Linked DNA regions of Tribolium castaneum. The protein of the gene in region 1 interacts with the protein of each later gene in a pairwise test. Links are inferred from orthologs where the notes say so. Each region holds a gene or a part of one and is shown in the gene's direction. Other genes may lie near its edges.

The links.
Region 2: the proteins of amyloid-beta-like protein (region 1) and Fas2 interact in binary tests that used the Drosophila melanogaster proteins (3 or more experiments, as listed by UniProt). The link is inferred for Tribolium castaneum from reciprocal best matches to the Drosophila melanogaster genes Appl and Fas2.
Region 3: the proteins of amyloid-beta-like protein (region 1) and Aplip1 interact in binary tests that used the Drosophila melanogaster proteins (3 or more experiments, as listed by UniProt). The link is inferred for Tribolium castaneum from reciprocal best matches to the Drosophila melanogaster genes Appl and Aplip1.

The regions. Positions count from the first base shown.
Region 1 is NC_087402.1:657,422-665,312, reverse strand, and holds part of amyloid-beta-like protein, read left to right. Parts: intron 1-1,789; coding exon 1,790-2,011; intron 2,012-4,137; coding exon 4,138-4,793; intron 4,794-5,574; coding exon 5,575-6,090; intron 6,091-6,323; coding exon 6,324-6,518; intron 6,519-6,570; coding exon 6,571-6,831; 3' UTR 6,832-7,891. UniProt on the Drosophila melanogaster protein: During development, plays a role in the regulation of the neddylation pathway. Appl and APP-BP1 interact antagonistically during development.
Region 2 is NC_087402.1:6,964,718-6,971,951, reverse strand, and holds the end of Fas2 (fasciclin-2), read left to right. Parts: coding exon of another isoform or gene 1-17; exon of another isoform or gene 18-847; intron 848-1,354; coding exon 1,355-1,550; intron 1,551-1,680; coding exon 1,681-1,788; intron 1,789-3,650; coding exon 3,651-3,780; 3' UTR 3,781-4,316; downstream 4,317-7,234. Other genes in the region: uncharacterized protein LOC100142371, read right to left, coding at 4,962-5,027, 5,083-5,268.
Region 3 is NC_087394.1:6,461,044-6,469,136, forward strand, and holds part of Aplip1 (JNK-interacting protein 1), read left to right. Parts: intron 1-3,480; coding exon 3,481-3,897; intron 3,898-3,954; coding exon 3,955-4,235; intron 4,236-8,093. UniProt on the Drosophila melanogaster protein: The JNK-interacting protein (JIP) group of scaffold proteins selectively mediates JNK signaling by aggregating specific components of the MAPK cascade to form a functional JNK signaling module.

The DNA.
Region 1 (7,891 bases):
TTTTAGGTATATAGCTTTGCCACGGAAAATGTAAATTGCCAATGTAATGACTTTATTCGGAGGAAAATGGTGCACAATTTCGCGCGAGCAAATTTTCTACACAAAATTCTAATTAACTCGTCATTTTAATTCGGGGAAACTTCTTTCAATTTGTGTGGGGCTATGGATGTAATTTGTAAGACAAAAACTGTTAATACATACGTTGTACGAAGTTAATAAAAACTCTATTTTTTTAATTATTCGAAACTATTTTGGCTTGGCCTATGTAAAATGATCCGGGGAATCGATTGGCATCGAGAAAATTACCAAATTCCGAATAGTTTTTTAGTTATGAATTTTTTAAAATTTTACCAATTTTTGCATTTATCAGCAATTTGCTCGAAAACTATAAGTCGGAGAACAATAATCTTTTTTGAAAAAAATAGATAATTCAAAGAGCTTTCCAACGATAATACACTTCATGGCGTTATCTCTGATAGTTCCGGAGCTATTGCTCGACAAATGTTCCGGGTACCCAAAATCGACAAAAATTGCGACGAAAATTGAAAAAATCAAATATCAAAAAATCGAATATATGGACTTTTTGTGGACTTTTAACAACTCTAGAGGGATGTAAAGTCATATAAAAGTCCATAAAAGGATACTAGAACGAGTTTTAAAAAAAAAGGTTTTTTTCACCTTTTTGAAGGTAAGTGACTCAGGAAATTTTAAGCAAAAAATTTTAAATTTTTAATTCTTGTGAAAAATTGATATAATATGTAAAATGAGCCGCTGAATTCAATGGAACAAACTGCAGTGCTCTACGACTTTTAGTTTTTTTTTTATGAATTTTTTTAGTGAAAAACTTTGATCGCCTCTGTAGCCGGAACCGTTGCCCGGAGCGGCTCCGGGTTTAATCGAAAAAATAGAGAAAATTAAGCGCTATCAAATGATTTTTTGTTCGTTGCTCTAAGTCTTACAGTTTCCGAGAAAAACGCAAAAAAAGGTTTCCATTTTCGCTTTTTTTCAATTTTCAACCGCCAATTACGGCCAAACTATTAGAGTTATCGAAAAACGGAAAAATCGAGGACAACCGGAATAAAAAGCTCTACAAAATAGCATAGGACTCAAAGCGATATCTCGCAAAAAAATTTTTCAATTTTCAAACGCCGATTACGGCCAAACTAAAAGAGCTGGGAGAAAACGCTTTTTTAGATCGGAAAGAGCACATCAAAATCTATAAGATAGAATCGGTTTTATTTGATTTTGAGACACTTTAAAAAATGACAGATTTTAAGGGGGGGGGGGGTGTTAACTTTTTTTTAATTTTTTTTATTTTCTCATTTACGGCTAAACTATTCTAAAAAGTGAAACTATTTTGATCCATACCTATGCAAAATGATCCGGGGAATCGATTGGCATCAAGAAAATTGTCAAATTCCCAATAGTTTTTTAGTTATGAATTTTTTAAAATTTCACCAATTTTTGCATTTATCAGCAATTTGCTCGAAAACTATAAGTCGGAGAACAATAATCTTTTTTGAAAAAAATAGATAATTCAAAGAGCTTTCCAACGATAATACACTTCATGGGGTTATCTCTGATAGTTCCGGAGCTATTGCTCGACAAATGTTCCGGGTACCCAAAATCGACCAAAATTGCGACGAAAATTGAAAAAATCAAACATCAAAAAATCGAATATATGGACTTTTTGTGGACTTTTAACAACTCTAGTGGGTTGTAAAGACACATAAAAGTCCATAAAACTTTGCTAGAGTGAGTTAAAAAAAAATTGTTTTGCTTGTTCCAGAGGGTCCGTTCCAGTCGGACGCTCTCCTAGTGCCCGAAAACTGCTTATTCGACCACATCCACAACCAGAGCAACTGCTGGACATTCGGTCGCTGGAATGCCACTGCAGGCAACGCTTGCCAAGAACGAGGACTCCAACTTCGATCGTTTGCTATGCTTCTTCCCTGTGGCATTTCTTTGTTTAGTGGTGTGGAATTTGTATGCTGTCCCAAACACTTCAAAGGCAAGTTCTTCTACCTAACTACACCCCATATTATATCGCTTTGTTTCCTTCCTTCCTTCCGTGCGAATAACTTTCTATCGTTCAAGCACAACTTTCACACCTTATATACGTTATATAAAATTTTTTCCTTTTTTATTTTTGCGCAATAAAGAATTAGCTCTCGAAACTTGGACGAAGCTTTTTATTTTCTCTCATTAGTCTCAACACTTGATAACATCGCGATACTCTAGTTCAACAGTTTAGGGGATTAGGAAGTTTTCGAGCGAGTTTATCAATAATTTGGCGTTGAGGACTCGCACCATATGCCCGGATTTTTCACTTGTTGCAACTTTCACAATATTTATTAATTAAAGACACAAAATTTTATTCAGTAGAAGTGAATTTTTTTACAGATTATTAATTGTTAGCAACCTACAATTAGAGCCACATTTTTAAAATTTGAAAAGCGAGCAGGAATAAGAAATCTACAAACTGATGACGGACGGGACACAAAAAAACTCACATTTTTATCGTTGAACAATCGTTATAATTGCAAAATTAGTCCGGAAATTTATTATTTTCGTATAGATCTAGTCTGTATTTTTATTAAAACAGGTTTGAAAAATTATTTTTGCGAATTTCGGTGCTGCTTTTGTGAATTTGAGGAGCACTGCAAATAACTGGTATCGAACAGCTCGCTCAGGTTGCAATCCCGTGTAACGGTTCGAAATTCAATCTATTGGAAACATAAAAAGTGTTAGTTCAGTCAATATGCGGTTCCATTAGTGGTTCAAGTCGATAAATCTGCCCGAGACATGCCCTCTAAAATGAATTTATAATTCTTTCGTTTTTTCCCCCACTTGTTATAGTTCAAATTCGCATTAGTTCTAAATCAAATGAGCTTCATTTATCACCGTCAGAGCTTTGGTGATAGGAAGCAAACCCCTTGTGGAACAAATACGACGTTAAACTAATCAACTGTTATGTATGCTTTGAATGTAGATAATCGGCCATTCAAAGATTCGACGTATGTTTATGACACAAATGCGTTCGTTCGTTCGTAAATTAAACCCAATTTACAGCTGAATGAGAATCAGAAATATAGGCGGCGGTCAGCGAGAAAAACTTTATTTATTTTAGCACACAAGTAATGAGTTTTTCGAGAATAATAACCGATGTAATTTCAAAGTTTAAGGCCTCTAATGCATTAAATGTGACATGCTGCAATTTACTTCACAAGCACAATGGAGTTATGATGGAAAAGCTTTGACCGGAATTATATTTACTTTTGTGACGCGGTTTCAAGCCGGTCTTTCGCTTGTTAAATTATTATTTCTTTACAAAACAACTCTACCTTCAAACAATTAAAGACATTTTTTAAACAGTTTTTGCGATTTTTTTTACCTTTATCGGGCAATAACTCCGAAACTATCAGAGATAGCCCTACGAAATTTACCATCGTTGGAAAGCTCTTTTAATTATCTATCTTTTACAAAAAAAATCATTCTTCTCCGATTAATAGTTTTTGAAAAATTGGTAAAATAAAAAAAAAGCGTCATAACTAAAAAACTATTGGGAATTTGGGGATTTTCTCGACGCCAGTCGATTCCCCGGATCATTTTACATAAGTTTACGTCAAAATACTTCCACTTTTTCGAATAGTTTTTCCGTAATTAGTAAAATAAAAAAGGGGGTAAAATTATTATAAGTCATAAATTCGGGCATTTGGAAAAATTTCCTCTTCCTTTGATACTCAGATATTTAAATTCAGCCACTGATCCAATCCATCTCCCCCAAATTGCTTTAACGAATTGACTTCCAAATTGGGTAAACCCCCAAAACCTAGCTAAATTAAAATCCAATTCAATCGGAGACAAAACCCAACTACTCATATTTCACAACTTGTTTCCCTCTCGAGACACTTAACATTTATCCACATAACTAAAACTTTGCTTCCCTCGCGTCTAATAAATCGCAATTTTCAAACAACATTAAACTGAAAAAAAAACTAAACGATTTGTTCAGCCGAATTTTTAAATTATGCTCCAGAAGATAAAAAAAAGTGTTATTATCTACGTTTTGAACGAAAAATCGCGATCCTGCGCCTAACAGTTTTGAAAAAAATGCCAATTAAGTAAAAATTCCAGACAACATGAAGCCGAAAAAGCCACTGGACTTAACAATCCTGAAAAAGGACCAGGACAACATCTTCGACACCATCGACGACGATGACTCCACTTCGGACGAAGACGACGACAAGGACGACCTGGACGACCTCGCCGACGACACCGAGCTCGCCGACGACCCCAACATCGACGACGAGGACGACGATGACGACGAATACGACGACTCGGATTGGGACACCACCCCGTCGAGCACGACGTCCAAACAATCCACCACCACGACCACCACCACCACCACGGCGAAGACGACGTCAGTGCCGACCCCAGACCCCTATTTCACGCATTTCGATCCGAGAAACGAGCACCAGAGTTACAAGGAGGCGCAGGAACGTTTGGAGGAGACACACAGGGAGAAAGTTACAAGGGTTATGAAGGATTGGTCGGACCTGGAGGAGAGGTATCAGGACATGAGACAGACGGATCCACGTGGAGCTGATGAGTTCAAGCAGAGGATGACGCAGAGGTTTCAACAGACGGTGCAAGCGCTTGAAGAAGAGGGCGATGCTGAGAAACATCAGTTGGCAGCAATGCATCAGCAAAGAGTCCTAGCACATATTAATCAAAGGAAGAAGGAGGCCATGACTTGTTATACACAAGCGTTGAATGATGCGCCTCTCAATGTGAGTAATTTTGTAGTTATTTTCATGTTAGATAATTTAAAAAAATGACAGAATTGTGTTTTTTTAAGTTTCTAAAAACACCAAAAATATTCTCAAATTTTTGACAGTTTTAAATTGGAATTTGACATGACAGGTGCAAAACCAGCAGCACCAACCAACATTATTTTAGTGATTTTTTTTTGTTTATAGCACAGGAAAATCCTTACAATAAATGTTTTTGTACGCGTTTAAATGCAACAGAAACACTACACATGGAGGTAGTTAGAACTAAAATTTTCATTTACAACTCTCGTTAGAACTATTAACTCTAATTGCACATTTTCATCAACTTCATCAAATGGATTTTGAAGTCATAAAAGGAATGTTTAATGCATGTTTATGGCTACATTCGAATCAATTCGTTTCGCAATTTTTTTTTAAATACAGTAAAACCTCGGTTGTGCGATACAATACAGTAAAACCTCGACTCGACAATTATAATAATAATAAACACATTTTTTTTGCAGAATTTGTAGTAAAAATATATGTATATACCGGGTGTTTCAGTTATATATATTTTTATTTGTAAAAAAAATATATAACAAACCTTATATCTTCTTAAATGAATTGACGAAATCTATTGAAAAAAATTATCGCTTTACCCTTACGATGACATATGTCAAAATTGTGACTGTCAATTTTTTTTTATTCAGAAATATCTACGGTTTGAATTACTTTTAAAAAAAATAATAAAGTTATTCAGTTTTGTATTTAATTAATTCAATTAATTATTTGATTGCAGACCCATCGTGTGCAGAAATGCCTGGAAAAACTGCTCCGTTCTCTTCACAAAGACCGAGCTCATGCTATTAACCACTACCGCCATCTGTTGGCAAGTAGTTTGGAGGCGGCAGCTCGTGAACAACCGCGCATTCTCGAACGTTTAACAGACATTGATCGTACGGTTAATCAAAGCATGCAAATGTTAAAAAGATATCCAGAATTGGCGACGAAAATCGGTCAATTAATGGATGATTACATCCAAGCTTTGAGATCAAAAGATGAAACACCTGGATCACTTCTAGCGATGACAACTGAAGCTGAAGCTGCGATTTTGGATAAATATAAATCAGAAGTTACAAATAAACAAGCAGAGAGAGAACGACAAAGGTTGCAAGAGAAGGAGAGGAAGGAACAGAGGAAGAAAGAACGGTCGGAATTAAGGGAGGAGAAGAAGAGAGTTGAGGCTGTTTTAGGGAAGAAGATTAGCAATTTTGATGATGAAGACATGGAAGATGAGTCGTTGCCAGAAGAAAGGGTGGGTTTTTTTGAAAAAAAAAGCATATTTTTCCGACATAGTTTCAATAAAACTTGAAAAAAGGTAATTTTGGACCGAAATTTTACTAAAAAACTAGCTAAACAACGTCAATTTGATGAATTTCTAGGTAATTTTGAGTAATTTTTGCGAAAAAATAAGTTTTAAAGCGAACTTGTCCGCCATTTAAAAATGGCCGACAACTTCAAACTTGATTTTTTGATTGTCCATTTTAGACAACAATAATTTCGACCACCGGGAGCTCAACTTTCGACCTTGTGAGCAACTCCATCCCTACCACAAGCCACCGCGACGCCGTGGACGACGCCGCCGTCCAGCAAGCCGTCGAAGACGTCGCCGCCGTGGTCCACAAACAAGACGTGATCCGAGTCGCCCATGCAATGGCGCATGACATCAGCCACGGCGAACCTGTAAGTGGACGACACTCGGCTTCGCCTCGTCATGTATCACATTTTTTTCCAGACTTATTCAGTCCGACGTGAGGTGTACGGCAGCAAAGACGGCAAAAGTGTTTACTTCACTCTCGCCTTCGCCGGCATGGCGCTGATGGCCGCCGTGGTGGTGGGGGTGGGGGTGGCACGGCGCAGGTCCGCACGCTCCCCCCAAAGCCAAGGCTTCGTGGAGGTGGACCAGGCCGCCACCCCCGAGGAGCGGCACGTGGCCAATATGCAAATCAATGGCTACGAAAATCCCACCTACAAATATTTCGAAGTCAAGGAGTAATAAACGATTTGGTTGCGTTTGGTTGGTTAGGTTGGTATTTTTTACGTCATTCCATTCGTTTTATTACAGTGTACTTAACTAAGCAACTGATAATAATAATTCGGACATATGCAAAAACGTATTTTCCAAGTCTAAAAATTATGAAATAAGTAATAATTTTTGCATATGACAGCCAGTCCATGTTTTACACTTATTGTATAATCTTAAGGCGAGCTGTGGAGTTACATTGCCTTGGTGTAATTTTACAGTGGAAGAGTGTAGCTAGATGTATGGTACCCTCCATAATATGTGACAGCGTTTCTCTCTTAAGGCCTACGTTTCAAACTTTCAATAATGCAGCTAGAGATTGAACTCAAAATGACTGAGCTACTAGAAATTGGCGCCAATTTTAAATTATTTATGACGTATGGCAATTTTCTGGCAAAATTTTCGTTTTCCTAACTTGAAAAATTGTCAAAAAGCCGTCAGGTTGGCATTACCATAAGTAATTTTTTGTTGTTAAAGTTGGTACTTTTTTTTACTGTACTACAGTGACCTGATTTTTTTGTACAAAATACAAAATACGAAAATAACTTTAAAAATTACAGACATGTTTTTCGTATAGTCTGTCATACTTTTGACAATTGTCAAAACATGACTGATCAGTTTCTTTTTGATAATTAAATGTTTGAAGAGCCTTCTAGAATTTACAAAACTGTCAACTGTCAAAATTCAAGGCTAGTATGTTTTTTTAAAATGGGACGGCCATATTTTTTAACGGCAATAGAACTAAAGTTGACATTTATGGTAATTTTTATCATCACGTTCTATACCTATCTCAGTTTTTGAAAAAAATCACGAGAAACGGATTTTTTATATCATTACTATAATCATTTTTTGATTATCTTTTTAAAATAATAAAAAAAATCATAGTAGCTTTGCAATTTGACAGTTGACAAGTTTAAAAATTTTGGAAGATTGTTTAATCGTTTGGTAACAAATCCAAGAAGAATTGTGATGTTCTGAATGAGAAAAAAATTGATATATGTCAAAACTCTGACAGATATGTGCAAAGTTGGCG
Region 2 (7,234 bases), about 6.3 Mb from region 1:
ATACGAATCGGTGCTAAATAGAGGAAAAGTTGACTGTTTCACTACAGGGGTTTTAATGAAATTAAATGTGTTCCCAATCGATAAATTCTGTAAATATTAAATGGTATTAATCACGCATCGTTGCTTGGAACAATTAGTCGTTTCGTTAATTTATTGTACAATAGAAATAGAAACCGCTTCTTTCGCATGATTTGAACATTCCATCGCGTTGTTATTGTTGACTTTCAGTAGACCAAGCATGCCTGACATTTTATTTTAATACGTTTCTCAGAGATGCAGCTTTGAATGTCATATCCGTTTTTATTGAGCCTCATTTCTCACTTCTACTAACCGTTTCTTTCATTTGCTCGTAGTCACGTATGAATGTTGGATGAATTGGATGCGCATGATTTAAATTGTTGATCACTAAGTTGTTACTGCCAACTAAAATAAACTGTATTGGGTAGAACCCTCGTTTCTGAATCGAATTTTACGAATACCAAAAAAACGCAGAGGTGTTTGTAGTAGTGGAAAAATTTTATTTTATTGTTGAAATTCAGAGGATTATGTCGAAATTCAAGACTGAGGGCTGTTGCTACAACAGACGTCTCTTGCGTGCGTATCTGTGCCAGACTTAGTTAAATATCTGCATGTGTGCATGTTTTTGTACTTAAAAGTTTTTAGATTTCGTTGTTGTTTGTTGTGTTTTGTTCGTCCAAATCTAAAAACTTTGAAGTTGTGTTGTAGTTATTTTTTGTTTTTGTCGCAATTGGACAATAAACTTAAGTCATCAACGAAAATCAATCTCATTGTAATAGTTTAATTTACAAAACATGTCAATTTATATCAATAAATGAGTTAAACCGTAGTTGTTTTTTTAAGTTGTGCTTTTGTGAAGTGATTTGAAAGTGGCTTTTCATGTGTTTAAACGACAAGGGACAAAAACGACTTGACGGAAATGTACGTAGCTTCTTGTTATCTTAACTGGGCAAAGCCGAGGTCACCTATTGGCCACGATTTGTCCGTAGATCTGACCCGCTTCTTAATCTTGCTTTGCATGCCTCTAGGTTTCTTTCGTGTGTAATATACTAACAGTCACACAATAAAAACGGATTATGTGAAGACCCCAGTTTTATTTTACTTATTTTTCACTTTCAGAGTTTAATAATTTTTGAGCAGTTTTTGTTAGAAACCGGCATGAGCTGTCCTTAGAATAGTAGACATGGTGGAAGACAAACACACTTTTCACAATAAATGCGCTCATTTTGTTAAAAATGTGGCCTGTGACCACATTTTTAACCCACAACTAACCAACTAAATACGCTTAAAACGCCACCACTTTGTGATTTTGCCTTAATTTTGGTTTGTTTGCTAGGCATCGACCCTGCAGTGCCCTACAACGAGCCTTCAGTCACTAATTTCGCAATAATTGGAATCGTGGTGGGAGCAGTCATTCTTGTGCTAATTCTCGTCGACTTAATCTGTTTTTGCGTGAACCGCGCGGGGATTCTCGCGTTTATCTGCGATCGAAACCGATCGAAGCACCATGAAGAGGACCCGAAACTAGGAAGGTATGTCTCATGTTTTTGTTAAGACACACATCTGTACATAAATGAGTGCTTGTTTCCCGTAATAACACATGCTTTTGTGACGTTTTGTCCCTCATCACACATCACATTATACATTCGTTGGAAATTTTAGTCTATACAGTTGGCGATTTCCGCTGCCTTATTGCAGTTACAAAGCTGCCCCGGCGCATCCCAACAGTCTCAACTTGCCCCTACCTGTCAAACTGGCACCATCACCAATGTAAGGATCTGATGGTTGGTTGCATGCCCCAAATGCATGGATGTTGTGGTTTATGCAAAAGCATGCTGTTATTATTGTCGCCGTGACTGCGAATATTCGCTCACAAAACGAACCAGGAATTTTTGTACAGGCTTAGCTTCGTATTTTTAGTTGCAGACGACTAATACAGGGGAAGGACGCAATGCTAATAGTGTTATTTTGCTCTTGTAGCACATTTGTTGCGTATTTAATCCAACAGATTTCAAGTCGAATGAAAACGTATTGTTTTGTAAACAAATGTTTTCTTTAATGTAAATTACGTAAATTTCCGAGCATTGTGCGGAAAAACAAAGGGATTAAAGGCAGTTGCAAGGAAAAATTAAACATTAATCACGTTGATGATTTTTTTAAGAACTAATGAATAGTTGAAATCGAAAGATTTGAAAGCCAAATTTTTAGTTATACTTTATTGTTTTACCTCAATGTATTTTTTTTTCTTATTTAACCTAATAGTTACGTTATTATAGTTCATTGTACAGAACAAGAAAGGAGAATGTAAGGTCTCTTCTGTTTTGCTTTTACAAGGAAAAAAATATTAAGAACGTTTGAGAACGAATGAATAATTGAAATTCGGAGCTAAAAATCAAGAAATGCAAATTTGAAACTTCAGGTACTAATAAGCTCGCTAAAGACTTTTGTGTCCTACTGAATTATGATTTTTTTCTCATTTGAAATCAAATTATAATAAGTTAAACTTGAGTTCGTTGTGCAGAAAAAAATTTGTTAAGAAACAAAAATTATTGAAAAGAGTTAAAAAGCGATAGAATAATTATTATAATTTAATGTCAAAATCAGAAATTGTAAATTTAAATTTTAAGTTAGAGACAGTTTGTTTAAGAGTTTTATGTTTTACGACGATGTATTTTCTTTATTCATTTGGAAACATTTAAATATTATCAGTTACATAAACTAGAATTTATTATTGTGCAGAAAAACAAAAGGAAATTAAAGGTAAGTTTCGAAACTTTCTCACAAGGAAAACAGTTAATAACACAACACACTGAGGGAAAATTTCGTTTTTACTTTTTACAAATAATTAATTTATTTGGAAGTGTTTTTAAGAACACAGTGTTTAAATTTTAATCACTCACATTTCACAAGTTTTAAATGGAATTTTGGTTTTGGAAATTAAAAGCTTAGAACCCAGTAGTAAGTAGTATTATTTTATTTCAATGTCTCTAAATTTGGACTCGTAAGTGCTCACAATTTCAATTTTTTTTTTTTGCTAAGGACGTTTAGACAACTGTCTGGCATATCTCAATACGAAATCAGATTATTTTTAACAGATTGAAAGGAATTTCAGGCCTTGTTGGGTGTAATTCGAAGAACAAAATGCTGTATTTAACTCGTCTTTGTGTAAATCCGTTCATTTATTACACTTCGTGGATGATAATTGATAAACCACTCGTTATTACTCGTGGTTTAAAACTCGTCGGATAAATAAATAACTATTACATGTAAATGTTTTTCATTTGGAATAACCTTAATAATTAATCTTTTAATTAATTTAATTTTAACCATTTGTTATATTCTCTTTTTTAACGTTAACTTTCAAGCACTTATGATTTTTGGACAAGAATTAGACAACTTACGACACCTTAAAAAATAAAATTGGTCAAAATATGAAAGAATTTCAATCTGAGAATCCAATTTTTTGCCCTAAATTGATTGTTAAAGTTGCACATTCCGTCGTTTTTCAATTTTCACCCGCCTTGGAATCTGTTCGATTGCGCCAAATTCCGATCTAATTTCGTCAAAGTCTAGCTGTAACAGCATGATATCACCTTGCTCGTGTCTTTTTCTCAATTACCATTGTTCCCTAGGGAGGAAGAGCGTGAGCCTCTAAAGGACGCCCACATGAACGGAGGAGAGAAAACCATGTCCGTGGAATTCGACGGCAAGCACGTCTACTCAAAATCGGGCGAAATAATCGGCAAACATTCGGCCGTTTAAGATCTGTGTTTTCAAGTGAGAGCTTCACTCATTCCATGACAGTTAAAACATAGTGCAACAATGCAATTCTTGTAAACTACTATATTTTTAAAGAGACCGCGTGCCAAATGATTGTAGCTTAAATTTCATAACTATTTTAGCCTCAGTATTATATCCAGACGCCGAGTCAAGTTTCTGTGCAATTTGGAAAAAACTTGATTGGTGGTTTGTGTACAGCTTCAGTGTTATGTGTGTAACTAAAGGGATTATGTATAAATGTTTCATTTTGTATAGTTAATTAGGATAGTTTAGGTAACGCTACCAAAGCACTTGTGTATCCGAATTTGTTAACAGCAGCACTGGCAGTACTTAACTACAGACTGAGCAATTTTTTCAAGACCCGACATTGTTTTTATTCATTACGTTTTCTAGTTCGTAAGAAATTAAGTACCAAAGTTATTATTTTAGACTAATGACATTTTTTATTGTATTTATGATATAATTAATTATATTGTAGCTTTTGATATGGAATAAAGCAATTAAGTACCTAATACAAAGCTAGCGTTCATTTTATTTAATTACACTACTAATACTAAATAGTGAACAAGAACCATATACGATGATGATGACTTAGTTCCACTCAAACTAATAAATACACTGACATTTTTTAAAGAATTTTGTATTTTTAATATAATTACTATAAAAAATACAACATACAGTAACTTTCATAAAAAAATCAAAATTTTTAAACCTGTGTTTCCTTTTAAATTATGTACACTACTTACAGAGACACAAAATAGACAATAATCTACACCATGATGAAGAAATTTCTATTTACATTTCCATGTAGTAAGTTCAAACTGAGCAATTGTTCAGGTTATATACATCTGGTAATTTATACTGCGAAGCTAAATTTAACAGAGAGACTTACGCTAAAATTTAAAGCTAGTGAAGAAGTAGAAAAAGAATAACAAAATTTAAGGAAGAAATGGCAAGACGACCACATGATGACGTGTTAAAAGAACAGCGAAAAGAAAGTTATCACTATATACAAAAAATTTAAATAAAAAATAACAAAAATAGAAACTGATAAATTAATTTATAATAATGAGCTCCATGCTTGTTTTTTACAATAGTGGTAACAATGCGTGAAGGTGTTGCATGAGCGAGGTGGATTAAATTACGATGGCGATGTAATTTGCTTAGATGAGAGATGTAACAAGACGAGCCTTGAAATTGACTAATCTTTCGCTAGTTTGGGCCAAACGCTGCAACAAAAAAACGAATCAGCGTTCAGTAGGGATTATTATGAGGGTTTCTTACCAAGATTAAGTCTTGTACGAGGTTGGCGAGACCGCGATTAGCAATGACAAACAAACGGGTGATGGGTCCGGGGATTCCCTCGCCATGGTGCTCCACTCCAGCCCCCTTCGCAATGTCGATCTCTGCAACACCTCCAGCGCCGATCTTCTCGTCGGATTCTTCAGTGGCCCCAGATCCGGCGACGAGCTGTGCAATTAACCGCAATTAAATAATTGTCTAACGAGGTGTTTTACCGCCTCATTAGCCCGACTCAAAAATCGCCTTTCACCAACGCATACCTAATTACATATTCGTTTCTACGGCTAATCTAACTTTAATGTGATTTACTTCTACTGGAATAACAATAACTAAGTGGGTAGAATACGTTTTCTGGACCGTTGTGCACCAAACTCACCTTTCAATTCCATTCAGGAATCAGGGAAACGATCCAAAACTGGAGTAAAAGTGAACGGATCGTTCACCCTTTCGTTTAATTAAGAAAAGAATGCTTTTATCAAAATTAACAAGTCAAATTACAAGTTTGTGATAAAACTCGGCTTATTTTGACCCAAATCTCAACCGGTCGTTATTTTCGTTTAGCGCGCTACGTGAAATGTTTAACACGAATTTTCATAATTATGTAAATGAGCTAGAGCGGTATAATGGCACAAAAGTACTATTATAGTGCGGGTGCAGATTATGACGATTCACGATCGGGTTTTGAAACAGTGTATTATTGGTTGCATAACGCGAAGAAAATCGGTAAAACCCCCACGAAGAAATTAAAATCATTTGATTAATGGACCCGACAACAATTGATTTACTTACCACACGTGTGCCTCTTGTTCAGAAGCATTGCGGAGGCGGGTTTCATATTCATGATATTTATAACATGACTCAATAAGCCAGTGGGTGTTCCTTTTTCTTTTTTGAAAGTGTTTAAAAAATATGAACATTTATGGATGTTGCACTTGCGCAACTGCTTATGCAACCCAATTCACAATTACGAGAGAACATTTTGTGCAAAATTAGTGTTATTAGTTGCCGAAATTAATTCCACGATAGACAAGTTTTACTAGAAAGCAAAACAAACTAAATTAAGTTTTAAATTTTGTACTTGGTGTTACCAGCAAAATGAAAATTAGTGTCTCAGTTTCCTCACAAGTTTACGAGTTTATTATTCAACAGTTTTTTACAATCCTTTAATTTTTATTAGGGTGATAAACACTGCCCCGGATTTTTCACAGCTCGCTGCAACTTGATAGGTGGTAAAGTGGGGGCTTTTATGGGCCATTAGCGTTTTCGTTAACACTTAATCCTTTTTTCTTCGTGAGATATCAAGCAAACGTTACCCATCTTTTAAGCTATTAACCTGGCAGAGAAGGGGCGGTTAATAGAGTGAAAGTAATCCGAGAAAATTTTCTAATGTCTCCGAAAGGCTGCTAGTTACCGAATTCAGTTTTTTACCAAATTACAAACAATAATTATAAAATCAACAAGAGAGTGCAATTTTCTAATTATTAACTAGAAAAAATCAATTACATGTGAATTTCGGTTTGACATTAAAAAATCACCATTTAATCCAAACTGAAATCGTTCTCTCATAAGATGGAATTAGGAACCCTTCATTTGGGATAATTTATATTTCATTATTGCAAGTAATTATTTGTGTTGAACATTTCACGTAATGGGTTTGTGGGGCACGGAATGCCGTCTCGGTATGGAAGTGGCAAGTTTCTACTGCAAATTGTTTTCCAAACAGCTGGGTTTGCCTTTCATTAGAATTGGCGGAAGATTCGTCGTGACCTTTGTGTTAGAGCCATCGTGTTAAAATGCATTTTTCGTCGATTCGTATGATGAAACGAGCGGTTCTTCTTTATTATGTGATCTGAGTAGAAAGTAAACCTTTCACTGGCGTCGTGTACTATACCGAATAATCTAAATAACTTTCCATTTTAAACCGGCTAGCAATTAGTCGGAGTAAATAGAACATCGATCCATCTGGAACCCAGTTTTCTTCCAGTTGTCTTGGTCATCGTCAGTCATTTCGTCTGTCATGTCTGGGATGGAGTTGTTAGACAGTTGGAGTTGGGTTAAATAGACAATAGTCGGCGTAGCAGAAATCAGAGAAGAGAGTCGTTATTTGAGTAATTAAATAGTGCTTGAAGTTACC
Region 3 (8,093 bases), on another chromosome or scaffold:
TATCAATATCAATGTTTCAACTGCTGTATCAAACTTTATGATTGTCTAGAACAAGAATAGCTGGAAATTTAATGAATAGACTTTAAGTTTACATTCATAAATTGACTTTACTGAAAGACTTATCAAAAGTTTTTGGTTTAATTAGGACTGTACACGAACTGTCTCAACACATTTTCTCGGACAAAATCTGCAATTAGGTTTCATGTTAATATTCAAATCGTAGTTGATACAGCCAAAAAATCTAATACATTTTTACCGTACGTTTGTTTAAAAAATAGATTACAGTGAAAAAATTAAGAAAGTTAGGCTTGCTTTTCAGAAGCTTTCAATTAATATTTCTAATAAATTTATAATAGGGCACAATAAGTGGTTATTTTTTTCGGTAGATCTAAGAGGATTTGAAAACTTTATAAACTTTTTCTTCAAAAATATTAATAAGTGCCGACTTTAGCTAATAAAGCTAAAATTCAAACTACTGACCGATGATGAAATGACCACTTCATTTGCAGGAGAAAAATTATAAACCATGAGTTTTTTTTGAAAAGTCTATAATAGAAAGATTTGGTAAATGAATTGACAAAAAGTAGAAAAAGAATAAAAACTTTAATTTGAAAGAAAACTAATTTGCAATAAGCTTTATTTATTATGTATTTTTTGTCAAAATACATTGAAATGTTTTTGTACCCTTATTAGTAAGATCAAATTCCTTCATCTTCTCTTTTGTTATTATATTACTTAATAAGATTTTAGAAAAAATAGAATCAAGATTCAAATTTTTCTAAAATAAAGGCTAATTTTAAAATTGTCATTTTTGTTTCTAAATAAATTCATCAGAAAAAATAGATTTGTTCTATATTTAATTTAATAGTCATACTAACATTAGTACTTCGACTTTCATAAGAAATTGGAAAGTTCATAAAACACTCTTAGATTGAGTTTGAAAAAATTTCTTTTTTGTTTTCGAGGATAAATAAGTTCCTTAGTTTATAAAAATTTTCTGAAAATAAAAAACTTTATCGTTCCAAATAATATTATATGCATTTCTAAGAATTCCAGAAACTTTAACTTGTTGGAGTTTTGAAAAAATAATTTTTTGAGTTTTCCAGTATAAATTAATGAGTTTCAGTTTATCAGCAACCTCTAATAAATAAAAGAAAATGTATCTGTAGATATAGTTTAGAAAAAATTTTGATTTTTTGGGTACGTTTTTTAGCAAGAAATTAAAAACTTACCTATGAGCGACATCTAATATTTAAATGCTTCGCTGCAAAAGATTTTGCTCAGCTAGTGTCCTCTAGCAACTAAGTAGCTTTGTCACTTTTTTTTTAAACTTCAATAATAAAAGAAATTAATAGTTTTATATTCTAAATTTCAAAATAAATACTTAAAACCACTCAAAATTTTTGGTTATTATCAAATTGATGTTGAAGCTACAGCAATATTGTTTTATTCTAAAATTGTTCAATTTCTTACTTAATTTTCTCACAAAAATCTGGAGTTTTTATCATGAAATATGTCGAAGACAATAAATTTTTTTATTACAACAAATAGCTAAAGTCCGTAATACAGTATAACTTATTTGAAAATCACTAGGCTTTACGGACGTCCATAACGTATTTTTTTGCACACTAGTTTGTAAAAAATGATAACTTTAAAATTTTAAACTACAGTACAATCTCAAAAGTGTAAACACTAAAAGTCCAGGGCTACTGCATCTGTTCGTATTATCGAGGCTATAAATACATTTGGACATAGGTAAAATAACTCAATTTTTTTTTTATTACAAAGAGTTTAATTCTTTATACATATTTTTTAAGCAACAAGTAGAACGTATAAAGTTTGTTAAAATAATTCTCATCTTATTGCCTGAGACGACTTCATGACAAACCACTTGTAAAACAAGTCGACAAGAAATTACACTAATACAAATATTTATGTTTTTTTTCCACATGTAACTGGTTGTTTATACCTGTGACGTCCGATTACAGCACTGCTAAATACAATAAGTTTAAGCTGAACTAAAACAGTTGTTCTTCACAGAGTGTCTACTCGTATAGTGTCCTATAAATGTTAATGTTGTAGTTTCATTTTGTTAAAACATAAGATTTTTTTGAATAAAGAGTTTACTAATTTATAGCCCGTTTTGTCAGTCCAGTGTTACTTCTAGTTTGATTCTTTTTTTTAATCCTACTTTCAATAAAATTTACTTTTATACACTCTATGTAACAATGAATTCAACGTTTGGCAAAAATGGTGGATGCGCTGGGAAAATTAGTTTATTACCTATTTTATCAAAACCAAATAAATGATTAATTGACAGTATGCATTATTTGTTATTACAAAGATAAGAAATATTAAAGCTCAGTGAAAAATAATGCATACTGTAAATTACTCATTAATTTTTTTGATAAAATGGGTATAAAAATATCTTATTTTTCGACACTGTCATAACTTTCGTTTTTCCTCCAGTGTAAGACAGTTTTGACAACTATTTGGCGTTTCTTAATACAAAACGTCAGATTATTTTTAACAGATTTAAAGCAATTTTAAGCCTTGCTGAGTCTAATTAGATGAGTAAAATGTTGTATTCAACTCTTTTTTGTATAAATCGGTTCATTTACTTTACCTTGTAGATGATAAAGCACTTGTTGTCACTCGTGGTTTGATAATCCACTCGTGAAATAAAACATTCGATTTACACTCAAACTCGTTAAATAATAGGATATTAAAAAATAAGTTTTATAAGATCATTCTTAAAACACGAATTCAAGTTTCAAAAATGAGTGGCATTGGCCACAAATTTTTTGAAATAATGAGTGCTTCAAAGTCTCATGAAACGATTTTTTTAGACTATTTTTTGTAATTTGCCGTTTTTAAACAAAAATTGTTATTTTAACAGATTTAGGGACTTTTTTGACGATTGGTAATGTCGCAATTTTGAAAGTAATAAATTGATTAACATTTTTTTTTATCCAAATTGGGTCAAAAAACAGGAGTATGGATGATATTAAAGGTAATCTTGCAAAAACGCCTTTTGAAATTTAAGAAATTTACAAAAATACGGTTGCGAATTTGGTTCCTGTCAAAATAAAAAATTTCATAAAATGTTTAGTCAAATAATGACTATTATAACTTTGCACTTGATAATGTTGAGTGCTTTAAGATGTCTATTAAAGCATCAAAATGGCGGCAAATTACAAAACTAACTATTATCTCGGCGCATCCACCATTTTTGCCAAACATTAAAAACGTTAATGCTTCTCAAATGCAATCAAAGCGAAAAAATTAATATTTACGGAGAATTTTACCAGCTATAGTTTACACTACACAACATACACGCCTTACGGACTATCTTTTCAACTCTTTGGTCACCAAAATTATTAACCATTTTATTTCGTGTCAAACTCACTGACAGTGTTTTCACTTGTCATTTTACCAACAATTTTTAAATCTTTATTATATACCAGTGTATTTTTGCAGCTTCTGTCGTCAGTATGTACAATGCACAATACCACGTATCTCGAGAAATGTCTCTCGCAGACGAACTAGGCAGTACAGGGGGAGGAGGCAGCGGACCAAGCTCAATCTTAGTATTAAAATGCGGATATCTATGGGACACAGACTCGCCCGATTCGGAGCGCCTTATCACAGACGCCGACAGCGGCCACAGCACGGCCCATTCTCCCACAGGAACCGACGGTTTCAAATCCATGTCGCCCATCATGGGCATATCGCCTTCGTGCGTCGACGGAGGCCTGGTGTACAACGACGTTGAAATGCTGGAAGCCACCCATCGGGGACTTCACAAGTTTGTTCCCCGACACGATGACGAGATCGAGGTGGAAATCGGGGACCCAATCTACGTGCAGAAGGAGGCGGACGATCTCTGGTCGGAAGGTGGGACTTTGAGCGCTGGAGCGCTGCGATAAAACTGATCGTGTTGTTATTATTTAGGGGTTAATCTGCGGACGGGGAGGATGGGGATTTTCCCGTCTGCTTATGCAGTGGACTGTGATTACAGCGATTGGGATTCATCGTGTGAGCACGGGAGGAGGGAGCGGTATTTGTTGGGGTATTTGGGGTCGGTGGAGACGTTAGCACACAAGGGGACGTCGGTGGTTTGTCAAGCCGTGAGGAGGGTTATCGGAAATTCGGGAAGCGATCCGGAGTCGCAACCGTGCATTCTTGAGGTTTCCGATCAAGGCCTGAGGATGGTCGACAGGAGGAAACGAAACGTTAGTATGTTAGGGCGTCTGAGTGTAAATTACATTTTGTGCAAATTTATCATGTGCTTAAACACGCTTAAACTTTTATTTACGGACGATTCTTTGGTTAGAAACGAGATAACACTCTTAGAACAAACAAAAAATGTTTTATTCTAATTCAAAAAATGATTTATGTTAGACTTCGGTCGAAAACAGCTTATTCTGGACGATTTCTTGTTTTATTTGAAAAAAACAGACTAAAAACGCTTTATTCAGTTTCAAAAGAACACATAATGTTAAATGTTAAATAATGGATGAAAACGGTTCATTTTAGACTATTTTTTTGCTTAGAAATGAGTACATTTTGTTAAAACAGACAAAAAACGCCATATTCTGGCCTAAAAGAAAGACGTATGACAGGAAAGAGGAAACGAAACGTTTAATAATTTAAATAAAATTTACAGATAATTCTTTGTCAAGAAACAAGAAAACTTTCATAGAACAAACAAAAAATGTTTTATTCAAGTTAAAAAAAAATATTTATATTAGACTTTGGTGGAAAAAAGCTTATTCCGCATGATTCTTTGCTTAAAAACGAGAACACTTGTACAAAACAAACTGAAAACGCCTTATGCAAGCTCAAAAAAAAACAAATAGTGTTATAGTTAGGATAAAACGGCTTATTTCGGACTATTTTTATAAAACTTTTATAAAACAAACTACAAACGCCTTATTCAGACTCAAAAAAACAAATAGTGTTATAGTTGGAATAAAAACGGCTTATTTCGGACACTTTTGCTTAAAAATAAGTAAACTGGTATAAAACAAACTGAAAACGCCTTATTCAGCATAAAAAAAATTATGTTATAGTTTAGATGAAAACGGCTTATTCCGGACGATTTCTTGCTTTATTTGAAAAAAACAGACTGAAAGCGCTTTATTCAGTTTCAAAAGAACGAATAATGTTATAATTTGGATTCATTTGGTTCATTTCGGACTATTTTTTTGCTTAGAAATGAGTACACTTTCTTAAAACAGACAAAAAACGCCATATTTTGGCTTAAAAGAAAGACGTATGACAGGAAAGAGGAAACGAAACGTTTAATAATTTAAATAAAATTTACAGATAATTCTTTGTTAAGAAACAAGAAAACTTTCATAGAACAAACAGAAAATGTTTTATTCTAGTTAAAAAACTTATTTATGTTAGACTTTGGTGGAAAAAAGCTTATTCCGCATAATTCTTTGCTTAAAAATGAAAAAACTTGTACAAAACAAACTGAAAACGCCTTATGCAGGCTCAAAAAAAACAAATAGTGTTATAGTTAGGATAAAAGGGCTTGTTTTAAACTACTTTTATAAAACTTTTATAAAACAAACTACAAACGCCTTAGTCAGACTCAAAAAAACAAATAGTGTTATAGTTGGAATAAAAACGGCTTATTTCGGACAATTTTGCTTAAAAATTAGTGAACTGGTATAAAACAAACTGAAAACGCTTTATTCAGCATAAAAAAAATATGTTATAGTTTAGATGAAAACGGCTTATTCCGGACGATTTCTTGCTTTATTTGAAAAAAACAGACTGAAAACGCTTTATTTAGTTTTAAAAGAACGAATAATGTTATAATTTGGTTTTATTTGGTTCATTTCGGACTATTTTTTTGCTTAGAAATTAGTACACTTTCTTAAAACAGAAAAAATACGCCATATTCTGGCTTAAAAGAAAGACGTATGACAGGAAAGAGGAAACAAAACGTTTAATAATTTAAATAAAATTTACAGATAATTCATTGTTAAGAAACAAGAAAACTTTCATAGAACAAACAGAAAATGTTTTATTCTAGTTAAAAAAATTATTTATGTAAGACTTTGGCGGAAAAAAGCTTATTCCGCATGATTGTTTGCTTAAAAACGAGAAAACTTGTACAAAACAAACTGAAAACGCCATATGCAAGCTCGAAAAAAAACAAATAGTGTTATAGTTAGGATAAAACGGCTTATTTCGGACTATTTTTATAAAACTTTTATAAAACAAACTACAAACGCCTTATTCAGACTCAAAAAAACAAATAGTGTTATAGTTGGAATAAAAACGGCTTATTTCGGACACTTTTGCTTAAAAATGAGTAAACTGATATAAAACAAACTGAAAACGCCTTATTCAGCATAAAAAAAATTATGTTATAGTTTAGATGAAAACGGCTTATTCCGGACGATTTGTTGCTTTATTTAAAAAAAACAGACTGAAAATGCTTTATTCAGTTTCAAAAGAACGAATAATGTTATAATTTGGTTTGATTTGGTTCATTTCGGACTATTTTTTTGCTTCGAAATGAGTACACTTTCTTAAAACAGACTAAAAACGCCATATTCTGGCTTAAAAGAAAGACCTATGACGGGAAAGAGGAAACAATACGTTTAATAATTTAAATAAAATTTACAGATAATTTTTTGTTAAGAAACAAGAAAACTTTCATAGAACAAACAGAAAATGTTTTATTCTAGTTGAAAAAATTATTTATGTTTGACTTTGGTGGAAAGAAGCTTATTCCGCATGATTCTTTGCTTAAAAACAAGAAAACTTGTACAAAACAAACTGAAAACGTCTTATGCAAGCTATAACAAATAGTGTTATAGTTAGGATAAAACGGCTTATTTCGGACAATTTTGCTTAAAAGTTAGTAAACTGGTATAAAACAAACTCAAAAAAAAATGTTATAGTTTAGATGAAAACGACTTATTTCAAACAATTCTTTGCTTAGAAAAGAGTTAACTTTCTTAAAACTAAGTCAAAATGCCATATTATGGCTTAAAAGACAAGTTTTGTGTTATAATTTGGATAAAAATAGCTTATTTCGGTTGATTTTTTGCCTAAAAACGAGTAAACGTTTATAACTTAAGACGCCATATCATTGTTTTAAAGAAAGTTTTGTGCTATAGTTAAGATGAAAACAACTTATTTTGAACGACTCTTTAACTAAAGTTTCTATTAAAAAAATTCAATAGAATGGGACAAGAAATCACTAAATTACGTAAAATTTAAACTCTCTGCGTTCTAAAATTAGTGTCCAATCTTATATTTTTGAGTGGATCATAGTAATATTGTAATGTATCAGTAGTTGTTTTTATTTAAATTGAACATAAAAAAAGAGAAAAAGAAAAAACCGCAAAAAATTTAAAAAAACGAAATTAGTTCAAACACTAGTAAATTTTTACATTTTCTACTGTATTGGATCGAAAATGTTAGATATAACCTTGCTATACATTAATTATTCTGCAAAATTTCTTCACAAAATATCCAAAACGTTATCGAATCTTGTCAAAAATGATGTTGTTTTCGGGCTCTTAAAAACATTTTTAAACTAAAAAGTACAAACATTTCGTAATAGTCTGAGAAATTACAAAACTATAGAAAGGTACATAATTTCTGCGTTATACTTGGAAAATGTTTCGGCCAAAAACGTAATTATTTTGCTAAAAGTTTATAAAAATATGTCAAAAATTTGACGGTTTTGTTGGTTAAAGTTTTTTTATTGAAATGGGAAGCTAGTTTTTTGGTAAATTTTGTTAAGACCGAGCGAAAAATAATACCTAAAACATTATATTATTCTTTTCTGTTTTCAAGTTTTTCTATAACATTATTCAGCGAAAAATTGGTAAACACGCAATGATTTTGCCAGATATAATTAAAAATATACCGAAAAGTCGCTGATTTGAGTTGAAAATTATGCTTTTTTGGGCGTCTTAACAAGATTGTTTTAAATGAAACGTAATTTACTAAACAAAAATCAAAAATTTCAATATTTTTTGGGCTCGTTTTATCACAATGTTTAACCCAAAATGCAGTAAGCCCAAAAATTAAATAGACATTTAGATTTACTTTTT